Linked DNA regions of Yarrowia lipolytica. The protein of the gene in region 2 interacts with the protein of the main gene of each other region in a pairwise test. Links are inferred from orthologs where the notes say so. Each region holds a gene or a part of one and is shown on either strand. Other genes may lie near its edges.

Region 1 (7,061 bases), on a different chromosome or scaffold from region 2:
CAAACAGTTCCTCCTGGATGGAGTATGAAGGAAGAGAGGCATCGGGAAGAGGCTCCAGCCAGATTCGTACAGCCTCCAGCAAGTTGTTGTCCAGAATTGAGTCGGCCAAATGATGCTTCTGCAACACGTCCTTGACCTCGGGAAGCAGCTGTAGCTTATGTGTGGCAGGCTGGCCCTCTCGGTTGGATTCCGCGTCGGCAATGGCCGCGTTTCGCATCTTCTCCCGCAGATTGGAGATTCGCTCGTCCTGCATCATCTCGATATCGTCCTCTCCCAGCTTCTTTCGTCGCTGAGAAGCAGGCTTCATGGCCGCGTCGATCCGAGCCTCAATCTCCCGTCGTCGCGCCATGCTGGGGTCCAAATCGATATGTGAGTGATCGATCTCGTCCTCATCGTCGTCCGCGGCCCTCGAGTCCTTGGTGGCTCGCTTCTTGAGCGTCTTCTTGCCTGAGCTTTGCACCTTTCGTCGGTGGGCGCTCAGCTTGTTATAGTCGTCGTCGTCGTCCTCAATAGCGGCGTTCTTGATCTCATCCTCATCAAGATCAGACAGATCCGAGTCGTCCTCATCGTCGTCAGCAGGAGCAGCTTCTGTAGTAGTAGCAGCTTCAGCAGGGGCTTCTTCTGGGGCTTCAGAAGCCTCCTCGGCAGCCTCTCCAACATCCTCAGCAGGTTCCTCAACATTCTCCTCCTCGTCAACGCGGTCCACGCCCTCGTCGACGGGCTCCTCAGACTTGATCGGCTTTTCTGTGTCACTCATAGTGTCGGTATGGTGATGGCGTTGCTGGATGTTGGTCAAAGTAAAACATGATGTCGGGGTTAGGGTTAGAAAGGAGACGATAGTGTAGAACGAGTGCGTTGTTTGCGACGGTCAAAAAACCCCTCAGTCGAACCAGAGTCACTTATTTGCTTATATGACAGCTTTACAGCTTATTATATGTAATTTCAGACACTTGACAACCTCCACCATCACACATCCAAATGATGCGTTACGTAAGACAAGTCCCAACTTTCGATACTCTTCGAACCCACCAAAGAAAGACCCATAGACCACACACCAAAGGGATTCTCATAAATGCTCCAAAAATAGGGAAATTGTAAAAGAGAGATACAAATAGCCAAACAAACAGTACTTGTAGCCTCAAGAGCTGCCCACATCTCGACCAAGCACGAAATAACAGCGTCATCATACTCCCCCCCCCCCACCCCCACTCAGTCAAACTTCAGGTTAGGGTTCTTAAAATACTTCTACCACTAAGTAGCTCACAACAGCGAGACTACATCAATATCCAAATCAATCAACAATGTTCGGTGGCCAGCCCCAGATTTCCGACGAAGATATTCGAAAGTACAACCTCATGACCCAGCGAACCCTGCAGAACGCTCTGTACCTCGCCATTGGTCTGTGGACTGGTGAGTATTGATGGCACATCACAGTTGGCAACACAACAAGACGACCGCCCTCCATGTGACTGAACAACACTATTTATGTGGCGAAAAGCAATCATGAGACATATCAATCGGTGGTCACAACGAACAGCCTGTCCTTCTACTCCCTTACTAACTCAGCTCCCTTTGCTTTCGAGCTCATCAAGGGTCGATTCTAAACTACTCTCAATATAGTGTGAATACATGTACATATTATTAGGCATCACCATGGGATGACAAAGGGAAATACATTGTACAGTATAAAATTATAATATGGTCTAGTTGTAGCTATCATACATGGATCCAGCTACTGTTCTTATTTCTTCTCCAGACTAGAGATCTTGTTCTCAACCTCAGCCATATCCTCCTTGAGCACCTTGGCAAGGAATGCAATACCCGTCTGCTGGTCCTTGAGAATCTTGGCCAACTGCTCCAAAGTCTCCTCGTCCCGCTCCCATGTCAATATGGTGCCATCGGGAGCCTTCTTAGACTGCGAGTCGGTAGCGTGCCGTGCCTGCTCTCTAAGAACAGACATACGTGCCCAGATCTCGTTGATTCGGCCAAACACAGCCGGGTCCGTGACCTTGTCGTTGAGCTGGACGAGGTTCTTTCGCAGCACCTCCTCCTCGGGCTTGAGGACATACCCACGGTTTCGGAGCACCTGGGTAACTGCTGCAAGAGCAACAGTTCGGTTAACGAGCCGCTGGTGACGAGCCCGCATCTCGGCAATCTTCACGGTAGTCACAAGATCGTGCTTGTTGGTTAGCTCGTCAAGCTTGTTGTTGACTTCATGCATTCTAACCCGGTACACGCCGACCTGCTGCTCCTGCTGCTTGGTTCGCTTCTGCAGATCGGTGAAGCCCACGGCCAGGACAGGCACAGACGATTTGTATGGTCGCTCAGCAACAGCCTTGTCCCACTTCTCAGGAGACTGACCTTGTGGCATCTGGTAGTAGGGAATATCATCCAGAGGGATTCGGTTGTAGAAGTAGAATTGGAATGCACAATTGGGGGAGGTGGGGTCCCATCCGTCCTTGATTCGGGTCAGCTGGGCCTGAACAGAAGGACCGGAGGGCTGATTGGTCTTGGTCAACTGACCGAAACCAGCTTGTTGCTGCTGCTGCTGTTGTTGTTGACCAAAACCGCCCACGTTGTTGTTTGCATTGTTGTTTCCAAAGAACCCTCCCGTGTTTGTGTTTGTGTTTGCATTGTTGGCGTTGTTGTTGCCAAAGAGCCCTCCTCCAGTGTTGGTGTTCGCATTGTTGTTTCCGAAAAGCCCTCCAGTGTTGGTGTTTGTGTTTGTGTTGGCATTGTTGTTACCGAACAAGCCACCTCCGGTGTTTGTGTTGGTATTGGCGTTGTTGCCAAACAGCCCACCGCCCGTGTTTGTGTTTGTGTTTGTGTTGTTCTGGCCGAACAGTCCGCCTCCAGTTGTGTTGGTGTTCGTAGTAGCGTTATTGTTGTTCTGACCAAACAATCCTCCGCCAGTGTTTGTGTTTGTGTTCGCATTGTTGGTGTTTCCAAACAGACCTCCTCCGCCGGTGTTGGTGTTGGTATTGGTGTTTGTATTGACATTGTTTCCAAACAGGCCTCCTCCGGTGTTGGTGTTGGTGTTGGTGTTGTTCTGACCAAACAGACCGCCAGAGGCGCCGGTGGTGCCGGTATTTCCAGTGTTGGCATTGTTCTGGCCAAACAATCCACCGCCCGTGTTGCCAGACGTGTTGTTGTTGTTCTGGCCAAACAGTCCTCCTCCTGAGGAGTTGGTGTTGTTGCTAGTGGCTGCCGAGCCGGCTCCAAACTTGAATCCCGAGCTCATTCCTCCCGCGTTGTTGTTACCGGCCGAATTGGTGTTATTTTGACCAAACGAAAAGCCGCCTGACTGTTGGTTGGTGTTGCCAAACATGATGCCTGTGGTTCTGTTTTTTGCCCAGACGCAATATAGATAAAAATGTAGTTGCACCCGGCGTCACTACAAAGTCTAAAAGTGATAAACCTCAAACACACAACACACACGAAATACCGTAGTGGCAGAACCAAAGCTTAGTAACCACAACTCCCACTTACCCGGCCGACGGAACCATCAACCAATCTGCGTGAGAGAAATGTAGACTGTAGTAAGCCTTTGAGCATCAGCTAACACATCAAAATGTGAGTATTCCAGGGAAACCAGGAGGGCCTGGGGAAGGTGATAAGGGACGCCAGGGAGTCAAATGAGGGTGTTTCGAGCCGGGAATTGGACCCACTTGGCTTTGTTGGTCTCCGTAGGCTGAGATCATGGAACATGGCGAGATACGTTTTTATGACGGGCATTCCGACAGTCTTGAAAAGCCGAAATGTTGTGGACAAGGGAGATAAACGCCAATAAATCAACATGGATGGTTTTTGTGCCCGAGGATATCGAATTATGGAGCCATTCGTGGGGTTGTGGAATTTTTGACATGGTGCACGGTACGATAAGGACATATGTGAAGATGGAGCAAGAGTTGCCAGGGAACTAGAACAGGTTGATGACGGTGATTCTTAGACCCTGTGATGATCAATTTTGGCGTCTTGAGACATGAGTTCATTTACTAAACACAAACACCAAGAACGTCCTGCACTACTGTCGACACAACCACAATGTTTTACCCAACAACCTCATCATGATACACCAATTGCCATGAGTCAATTCTCCTTATTACTTGTTGGAGTGAGGTCCCTTCAACCCCTCAGTCTTTACTCCGATCTCATCTATACCATAATTAGACACTAACGCAGGCCCCGAGAAGCTGCCGCCCACTGGGTCCCATTTGAGGACAAAGCTAACATGCCCGACAACGTGCCCGACGTTGTCGAGGTTGGAGCTACCTCCGCTCCTCTTCTGTCTGCATCCTACTTCATTGGCGCCAAGTGCAAGCCCTACAACGATGACTTCATGCTGTGCAGAGAAGAGTCCCAGGGCTCTGGCGCCATCGACTGTCTCAAGGAGGGCCGACGAGTCACCCGATGTGCCGTCTCCGTCATTGAGGACATCAACAAGAGCTGTCTTGACGAGTTCCGACTCCACTGGCAGTGTCTGGAGCAGAACAACCACCAGCTCAGTGGCTGCCGAAAGGCCGAGGCTCTGCTCAACAAGTGTGTTTTCACCAAGCTGAACCTCGAGAAGAAGATCCCTGGTCTGCGACCCGACGAGGAGCCCGTTTTCCTCAAGAAGGATCCCTGGATCAAGCCTGCCGTTGATGACTTCAAGTCTGTTCGAGCTTACGCCGAGGCTAAGAAGAACGGTACTCTGTAAATGATAACATGATATTGATTTGAGGTGGAATGTATGATGCCTAGAGATAAACGGGGTTGCAGAGCGCAACAAGGTAGCTTCAATATGACTTCTTTCCCACTGCTGTAGCTGTACTTGTACAATGACTGCATAGTATGTCCATACTGTAGCTTGATCATACCACTGTAGAAAAGGCTGGGTTTGAATAAACGAACTAAAGTAAAAGTTAACCAAACTTTCAACAAAGCATGTGAAATGGCAAGTCCAATAACGGAGATATTACGAAAAATTGGTATCGGAACATACATATATTTTCAAGAATTTGTTTAAAACACAGCTTCCCTCTATGTATCAGTGTATTATCCAGAATCCCAACATTGTCGCAACACCGAAAATGAACCCCTAGCTGATCTTTGTCTTAACTAATCCTCAACAAACTGAGGGAGCACCCTGTTTTCAAGATTGAGTTGAAAAAAAGGGAAGCGTGACACGAAAAGGTCGCCTGTATTTAGAATGATGAAATGGGCCTATAAACAACAGGAGGTGACAAAGAACATCTGGCGACAAGGCATACACAGTAAACGTGCTTTCAAAAAGTTTCTCTCGCGCAAACCCTACAAAATGGACATGTGAAATACTTGCTTGGGTCATCGTCAGTGCATGAAACAATCACCTGCATGCACCAAGATGGCGATAATACGGAGACCTACCACTACATTGTAGCCTACTTGTAGCCTACAGTATGTCAGTCACAGCAAGGGGCAATGACATACTCAAGTAGAAAAGAAATAGTCCAGATAATATCACGTGACCAGTTTCACAAATTCACTACCATATGTTGGCAAATAAAAAGACCCCGTCCACATTCGCTCAATGCCCTTTTTTTTTTTTTTTTTTTTGTTTGTGGCGGTGATGGCTTCAAACCTTGATATTGCTATAAATGCATCCATGCTGCTGAAGACTCCATACCGCCGCCACCCTCACAACTCACTCAAAGAGACATGTCGCTCGTCAACCTGAAGCTCCACCAGCTTCTGGAGACGTCTCCGTACTCCACGCAAGAGCAGATTGACCAGGCGTTTCTCAACAAGACTCTCTACAGCTTGCATCATCTGGAGTCCCTGTCAGCCGTCAGTTACGCCTACCAGATTCTGAGAGACCCCCAAACTCGAGAACTGTACAACAACACGGGTGATTCTGTGCTTCCCAGTCTCAAAGAGGGAACCGAACATCCTGTGACTTTCGTCGAGTCGTGTTTTGCTGCATTTCAAGAGTCCGAGTTTGTGGGTCAAGTGCCCATCTTCCAGCTCTTACTGGAGTGTCGAGAGGCCCACTTTCAGTCTAAACTGTGGCCATTCAAAAAGAGCAAGAAGGAGGACAAGTCTTTCCCCCTGGACGCTGCTCTGGTGACTGAGGTGCTCAAACAGTTCTTCCCCGTATCTTCTCACCAACAGATTCTTCTTGATTCTCAACTCAATGGAACCACTAAAGACATCCAGAAACAAGTTGAGTGGTTCACACAGCTGCTGATGGTGGATCTGGACGGAGATAGTGAAGAAATCAAGACGGATAAGACGTGGCACAAATGTCGAAAGGCCGGAATGCCGTCGTTTGGCTTCTCAGAGAAGTTTGTGGCGAATATTCAGACCAAACTGGACGACGTTCTACAGAACAAACGGGCCTTCACAGCCGATCTCATGCGAGCTACAGGGTTCAGTCTAGCCTATGAAGCTGAATACTACAGAAGACACTGGCTACGAGCATTCTTCTACTACGTGGGCGAAAAGAGCGAAAGTACCATGGCTATCAAACGAGGACTCAATCGAATCGAACGATGTGCTTCATACTGGAAACGAGCCAAGATCTCGGAGGCTGACGAGGTCAATATGGTCTACACCTGGGCCTTTTACACGTCGTTCAAACATACCTTTGACTACGCATCCCAGATTGTCAACACGGTTCTCAAATCGTTCAACAAGATCAAGTCTTCGCCCACACTCCACGTCCAGCTCTCCTACCGAATGTGGGAGATTGGTGCTCACATGTACCAGGCTGCCGGTATCGCTGATTTCGGAGTGACCAATCCCGTGATTGCAAACGTCGTCACAAAGACAGCTTACATTGAGTATTTCTTTGCGAACCGAGCTCTCCCGTCTGACCTGAAGCCATTCGATTACAACTTCTTCACATCTGAATTCGACGGCAGGTTCGTTATCGACACTATTCTCAAAGCAGGAAAGATGGAAGCAAGAAGCGCCGGAAACTTCGGACGCAACCAGAATACTCAGTCATCCAGTGGTATCAACTTTGGAGAAGACCAGTCGCCTGCAAACACGAAGACAACGAACGACTTCTCTGACGATCCTCCTCCCTTTGAAGAGAA
Region 2 (7,119 bases):
TGGCCCTGCCACATGTGTGGGGGCGGGTGGTGGCCAATGTGGGTCACGTGCATGGGCACGTGCATGCCCGGGGGCGCGTGTTGGTGGTGGGGTGGCGGCGGTGGGCCGTGGGGGTGCTGGGAGTGAAGGAGGCCCCGTTGTTGCTGGGGGCGGATGGGGCCCCGTTGTTGGTGGCCCTTGGGTGCTGGGGGGTGGACGTGGGGCACAGGTGGGAGGCGGACACCCCCGCGAGTATTGGACCGCCGTGAGCGACGGCCGGGTTACCGGGTCCGTGGCCGTGGTTTTTGATCCGGTTACGCGATTTGATGACGTTGGTTTTAAGACTGATGGGGCGTGCTCGGCCGTGCAGCTTAAGGAACAGGCCACACGCGTTGCAGAGCACCTGTCCCGCCTCGTCACGTCGCCAGAGCGGGGTGGTGGAGGTCTGGCAGTTTTGGCACACGGGCGTGAGCGAAAACTGGCCCCGCCCGTTGTCCTTGTCCTTGGATGGGGCGATAGGCGCATCCGACGACCCAGCGTTGGGCGCGGTGGAAGAGCTGGCGCCGGTGGGGGTTACGGAGGCGGAGTTGGGGGTGGCAGAGTCGCTTCTCGCCTCTCCTGCCGTCTCGGACGTGTCGTTTTTCGGTTCGTTTTTGATGTCGCTGTTGGTGTTGGTGTTGACGTTGGCGGTGGCTCCGTTCGTGCCACCAGAAGGAGAGGGACATGTCGAGGCGTTGGTAGAAGGTGGGGGGTTAGTGGTGGGGTTGGAGGGAGCGCCAGGCGCGGAGGGCGCGGCGGCGGACCCGGTTGTGGGTGGCTCCGCTCCTCCAGCTTCTCCAGCAGTCACTCCTGGGGCTCCCGCTTGTGCTTCCTCGCCCTCGACCTTGACCTGGGGCTCAGGGCCAGCCCCGACAACAACCGGCGTGAAACCCATTGTAGCAGCAGACATAATATTCCTTCACGTGGGGCGTTCTATCCAAATCCTCCGCTGTCCAAGCCGACTGTGGGGTTTTTGTGTTTCAAGGTGATGCAAAATTTTCCTATCGCTCACTATCGGCTATTTTGGTTATCGATATCATCCCGATTGGGATGTGGGTAGGGGTTGTGGTAGAGTTAGTGGGGAAATGAACTCGAAGATAGAAGATCAATTTTAGACGAGTAGATGATAATGTCCGTAAGATGTAAAAATATGTATAATATTTATTGGGACGATCTTCTAATTTAGATATTTTTAAATTTCTTATATCTCCAGTTTTGAAATTTATATGGATTTAATTCTCCGTTTTCACACCAAGTTTCTTTCTCCCAATACCCCCTTTAAACACTCACGTGAGTCCCAAACTTTATTGAGAAGACTTTGCAAAATAATATCTGTAAATTCGGACAGCGATTGAATCGCGGTAATAAGGGTATCATAAAACAAGTTAAACCGGGACGATTCCAAGTATGTATTTTTTCCACATGTTTTCCCCTCCAGCGCTCTTCTACACACCCCTCAACCAAATGGAAACCTCCAGAACCTAAACTTCAAATTAAGGTTCCATCAACAAAGCACATAATCATGTGACAGTGCAGATTTTAATCTTCTCTTATTGGTCAGTGCTAGATAGTGCACGTATTGCGTGATAAGAAACAGCGTGAAACGGGCCAATACGAAGAGAAGAAAATTCCCCAAAAAATCCAGGACATTCTCCTGCGAGATCAAAACTCACTTGCGTCAAATCTGCGATTTTCTGACCAAGGTTGCTATTTGTTTGCGCTCTTTTTTCATCTCCCCCACCTTGCACGATAAGATAACCTATCTAGAAACTATAAATTTGAAGGACACGCGATAGGTGATAACGTCACGTGATAATAAAGAGGATGGAGATAAACCAAAGTCGATGGGGAAGACGGCGGGGATTTCCAAACAAGAAATAATCAAATACTAGCACGTGAGGAGAGTCTGAGGGTGAGGGGGTTTCAATCACGTGACTCGTATTGGTGTCAGGGCAATTCTTCCAAGTTTTTGAAATCCCTGTAGGGTTATTGGTTACCCGGACATGGGGGAGGCTGGTGTCAAAAAAAAACATACCAGCCGTAAAAACTTTTACCCGGAGGAGGTAGGGTAAATGTTGGTTGAAAGCAGTGGGATTAGTAAGGAAAAAGAAATGTGAATGGAAATTTTGAAGGAAAATTAATTTGAAGGAAAATGTGACGGAGAAATTTGACGAAAAATGCGAAAGGAGAACTGTGCAAGGAGAAATGTGAAAAGAGAAATTGGGAGAACAAAAACTTGTGTACTTGTTGGGTGGTATTGGAGATATGGGATAACAGAAACGGTCTATTAGGATTCTAGATATGATAAATCCAACGGTCAACTCCTCGCTTTTGTCGGAGGCGCGATTCTCCTGTTATAAGCCATACTCTTCTCTCACAACGGTGTTGTCATACAATGATATAGCTGTTTTGGTTACAGAAATACCAGTGTCCATGTAGGTCGAACCTTTTGTTGCTTGGTATGTTGACTCTTTCTCCTTCTCCTGTTTTGATTCTAACAGACTAACTGTCTGTCTCCAATACTTGTAAAAGTCGTCAGTACAGACCCAGCTCTGCGGTCAATGAACAGACACAGTTGAGGACTCAAGAGTTCAAATTCGTGTTAAAAAAAAAAGCATTCAAATACACTCAAAGTCGCCTAGCTTAGTCATTCTCTGTCGGTGGATCTTGAGAGCCCGTGTTGTATGTTGTTCAGACATACGTTGATGGACACAACAGAACATAACGGTGTCTTGAACAATAGCAAGAGTTTTATAAATCTCGCCAAATGGATGTAGCCATTGGTTGAAACGTTCATTGAAACATCTCTGATACTTCCTCCTATCGCCAGAACATGTTTATGACCATCCAAAGGCCTCCTTTTTGAAAACAAAAGTCACTAGTAAACTGCCCTACCACAGCTTGGAAACCTGGGAAATTATCATCTGGCGAGATCCAGTGAACAGTCTGGCGACATAAAATAACTTCATTCTTCTCTTCAGCTCGATATTGTGCAACAAGCACATCATAGCCAGAGTCCTCACTGCTGAACGCCCGTCCTCTACAATTAATAGAGCCATTGACAACCTGGAGACTTAACAGAAGTCCTTCTAGCATCATTTGCTGCCATATTTAAAAAAATCAGCTCTCTGCCACAATTTTTCGAGCTCGATTGTAAGAGTCGAACCAGTTTTCAAAAACCTATCTCCGCCTAGTTGGACTTTAGTTAAGACTGAAAGTGACCTGGGGGTCCAAATAATGGGTTCCAGGGAAGCGACCAAAACATAACCACTACCATTCAATTTAGCTCTCAACGCCTCATTTCCTCATCCCAAGTTCACCCTACTTTCTCATACAATATTTCCACATACTCGCACTTCCGTATCCGGCTCGTACTCAAATTTACTTATCCTGTACTTGACCTTTCCCAACAGAATCCCAACAGAACATATCCACCAAGTCATAACCTATCCCGATCCAAATCTACACACATTATGTTTCTCTCTCTCTCTTAATTGCTCATAACCTGTAGTTGGTCACGTGCCTTATCACGTTCACCGAACACCAATTATTCCACACGCGCGAGCTGAGGTTCATGCATGAGTGCCCATCCAACCACATTTGATTATAATATTTAGAGTTCCTAGGGTGGACTTAGTAATCGTAGACGGGGCCATTTATCTGGCGATGTAGTAGTCCAAATACAAAAATAATTACATGGCCATTTTCTCCTCATTCAGATGTTCATTTTGATACCCCCAACCCCCCAAATTGTCACACCTGCATGTTCACATATCAGATCCTCCAAACCCCCACCCCAACCTTTCCTCTACACACAGCAATGTCCGACGTAACGCATTTTTCGAAAGTCGTGGCGGCCACGGCGTCGACGTTGGTGTCGGGCGATCTGAGCCAGAGTCACGTGATGCGCGACATTTCGCGGCCCGCGTTCCAGAAGCGAATTTTTTCCTTCTCGAAGCGGCCGTCCGAGTTGGTTCGCATCACCTCTTCTTCCAAGGACGTTTTGTTGCCGGATGAGATGCTGGTGGACATTCCCAGCAACGAAAATCAGTTTTCGCTGTTTCAGGGCTTCCAGGCCACGCTTCCGGAGCACTCTGTGGGCTCTCAGCTGCTTCTGGGGGATGGATCAAAAGTCGGCGAAAAAAGTGCTCGAGAACAGCTGGTGGAGGGCAAGAAGAGCCTGAGTCACAAGCTGGACTTGTTGGAGGTGCGCAAGGCACTGGCGGCAAATGAAATCACCGAGATTGACGCTCGAGTGGCGCACTTGCAGTCCATGCGACAGATTGTGTTTGACAGAGTGGCGTCTTTGGAGCAGCAGGAGTTCCAGCTGGAAAGTGAAGTGCTGCGAATCGATGCAGAGCTGGAACAGATGGAGGAGGAGAAGGAGGAGGTAATCCAGAGACATGATTACGAGACCCGAACCCCGGAGGAGTTGGAGGATGATGTGGTCGATCTGAAGAGTGTGTCTGAGAAACTACAGAGCGCAAGTCAAAAGACCCTTCCCCGACGAAACCTCAGCCGACGAAAAACGCAACCCACTCTGCAACAGTACTACGAGCCAGGCAACAAGATCCGACAAATCAAAGCGCATTCCGATTCGGTCACGTGCCTGGACTTTGACATTCCGTTCGGAACCATGGTTTCTGCAGGCATGGATCTGGGACTCAAGGTGTGGGACCTGTCACGTGGCGATCTCGTGACCGATCTCAAGGGCCACAATGCATCAGTTACGTGTCTTCAGGTCGACAATAACGTGCTTGCCACCGGATCAGCTGACGCTACCATTCGGGTCTGGAACCTCGACCAGGTGGTTAGTAATCCCGATGCCCAGGATGAAGGTGATGATGCCTACACCATTCACGTGCTCGACAGTCACGTGGGTGAAATCTCTGCCATTCATTTCTCAGACCATACGCTGGTGTCTGGTTCTGCTGACAAAACCATTCGACAATGGGATCTCAACACTGGACGATGTGTTCAGACTCTGGACGTGATTTGGGCCAATTCTGCGCAGAATGCGCTGTACTCGAACGATCGGCTCCGAACCGGGTTCGACGCAAACGCACCCTTCATCGGCGCAGTGCAGTGCAGAGATGCAGCCCTTGCCACCGGTACCGCTGACGGTATTGTGCGTCTTTGGGATTTGCGGTCCGGACAGGTGCAGCGAACCCTACAGGGCCATACCGCTGCGGTAACGTGTCTGCAGTTTGACGACGTGCATCTTGCAACCGGATCTCGTGACCGGTCTGTTCGAATCTGGGATCTGCGAATGGGCAACATCTTTGACGCGTTTGCGTATGATTCGCCCATTACTTCGTTGGATTTCGACAACCGAAGAATCGCCAGTACCAATGGAGAAAACACCGTCAAGATTTATGACAGAGCAGCTGAGAAGCATTGGAGTCTGGGTCGAGGAGAGGGAGATCCCGAGGCGCCAGAAAGCACGGTGGTGAAGACCAAGGAAGGCTATTTGGTGGAAGGTGGTGGAGATGGAGTGGTGGGTGTGTGGGCCTGTTAGTACTAGCGATGCGAGTACTAATAATTTTGGGATCATGAGCGGAGCGAATTGTTTCATTTCACGGGACATTGTGAGCGAAGCTAGGTCGTGGAATCGTGAGAAGACAAATGGTCTCAACTACTCTCATGGGTGCCACCGAAAATGAGCGGAGCAGAGGCCCTCAATGCTGCCAGAGATGTTTGCTGTCTTCACCATTTGCAGCAATGAAAATGGGTGGTGTAGACTGTGTCTCGTGTCCGGAATCATGTTGACAGTTGGTGTGAGGCAGACTGAACTTGCCCGTTACTGCTACTCAGCAGTTGATGTTTGGCTTACCATAAGAGTGTCAACCGCCCCACAGTTTTCTTTCCAGGTGTTTTTACCCACAGTCAGCTATCCAGGAAAAGCCCAGAGAGGCAATATGTATATAAGATAGATTGAGTGTGATGACCGGAAGTGAGTGGCTCAAATCCACCAGATAGCAATTCGTAAACGTGTTGTAGATTACTGGTGATACCTGAACTGGTTATAGAGTATACCCCACGGGATATAAGGCACTAGAGAGCCCCAATCGTCAACTGAGTCAGTTCTGAAAATTTTTTTTTTTTTTTTTTTTTTTTTTTTTTTTTGCTAGGAGTGATAAGATGTGGCCCCTATGTTGTCTCGGTGGGTCCCATGACTCCATCTCCACCAACTCCGTATTATCAGGTGCTCAGTCACTAGTCATTCATTGCAAGAACCAATAAAGAGCACTGGCGTTGTACTAGAAGAAGCGACACGGTAGTTATTTTGACCCTACCGTTTTATCAGTGAAAACTTGGTCTGTAGTCCAGTGGAGAGTCCATGAATGGGCATATTGAGATCTAGCTCCAATTGGATGAAAGATGCACTTTGAGGGACCTTTTTGGTATTTTTTGCATGTATTCGGATGGACGTTCTTGCCAATCGACCACCCTATAGTGGCAAATGAGGCCTGGTAAGGTACAAGTATTATTTCATCGGTACATCTGCTGGAATTCTACTGAATCTCCTTCCACCAACTCGTAGTTTCTTGACTAAATGGGTGCATCATTTTGTGAGCATGAAAAGAAGGAACGGAAGATGTCATTAGTACATTGAGAAAACTCCCCCGTTGCATCCAGCATCATGGAGGCACTCTCAAATCAACCCATATAACTCATGAGCGTCATTGTCCCATATCGACACAACTTTCATCGATTGTAACCTCATTTCAGCACATCATCTTGCCGGTGCATTATCTCGCATTATCTCTGCACACTATCTTGGCTCTCATCTCTATCTACAGGCCGCCGGTTATCGACGTGCAAGCTTGCTGAACTCAAGACATGCACGTTTCGACACGGCCTGATTCCGCTGCTAATACTACCAGTAGCAAAAGAGTTGTCTCGTCAGGATAACCGTTTGACTTTTGGATCTTGTACTGTCATACAAGATCCCATGCGGCTCGTGGCAACATGTCGCACTGGCTCTCGCAATGTTTAACGACAAAGTGCTGCTTCGAGACTCGGGGTCTGGGAGATAGTCAATATGGACCCTGAAAAGGTCTTGTGCCATTAAAAGGACTTGTGCCAATGTGGACTTGT

What was found. The genes of interacting proteins can lie anywhere in the genome.
Region 1: the proteins of YALI1_C31281g (region 2) and YALI1_A21720g interact in a two-hybrid assay, tested with the Schizosaccharomyces pombe proteins (2 studies listed by BioGRID). The link is inferred for Yarrowia lipolytica from reciprocal best matches to the Schizosaccharomyces pombe genes mdv1 and nup44.

What each region holds. Positions count from the first base shown.
Region 1 is NC_090770.1:2,168,228-2,175,288, reverse strand, and holds YALI1_A21720g (uncharacterized protein), read right to left. Parts: upstream 3,329-7,061; coding exon 1,742-3,328; downstream 1-1,741. Other genes in the region: YALI1_A21746g (uncharacterized protein), read right to left, coding at 1-757; YALI1_A21711g (uncharacterized protein), read left to right, coding at 4,232-4,699; YALI1_A21696g (uncharacterized protein), read left to right, coding at 5,680-7,061. UniProt on the Schizosaccharomyces pombe protein: Functions as a component of the nuclear pore complex (NPC).
Region 2 is NC_090772.1:3,124,320-3,131,438, forward strand, and holds YALI1_C31281g (uncharacterized protein), read left to right. Parts: upstream 1-3,781; coding exon 3,782-5,536; downstream 5,537-7,119. Other genes in the region: YALI1_C31243g (uncharacterized protein), read right to left, coding at 1-14; YALI1_C31252g (uncharacterized protein), read right to left, coding at 44-928; YALI1_C31299g (uncharacterized protein), read left to right, coding at 5,644-5,782, 5,833-5,951; YALI1_C31308g (uncharacterized protein), read left to right, coding at 6,482-6,561, 6,627-6,852; YALI1_C31315g (uncharacterized protein), read right to left, coding at 6,899-7,119.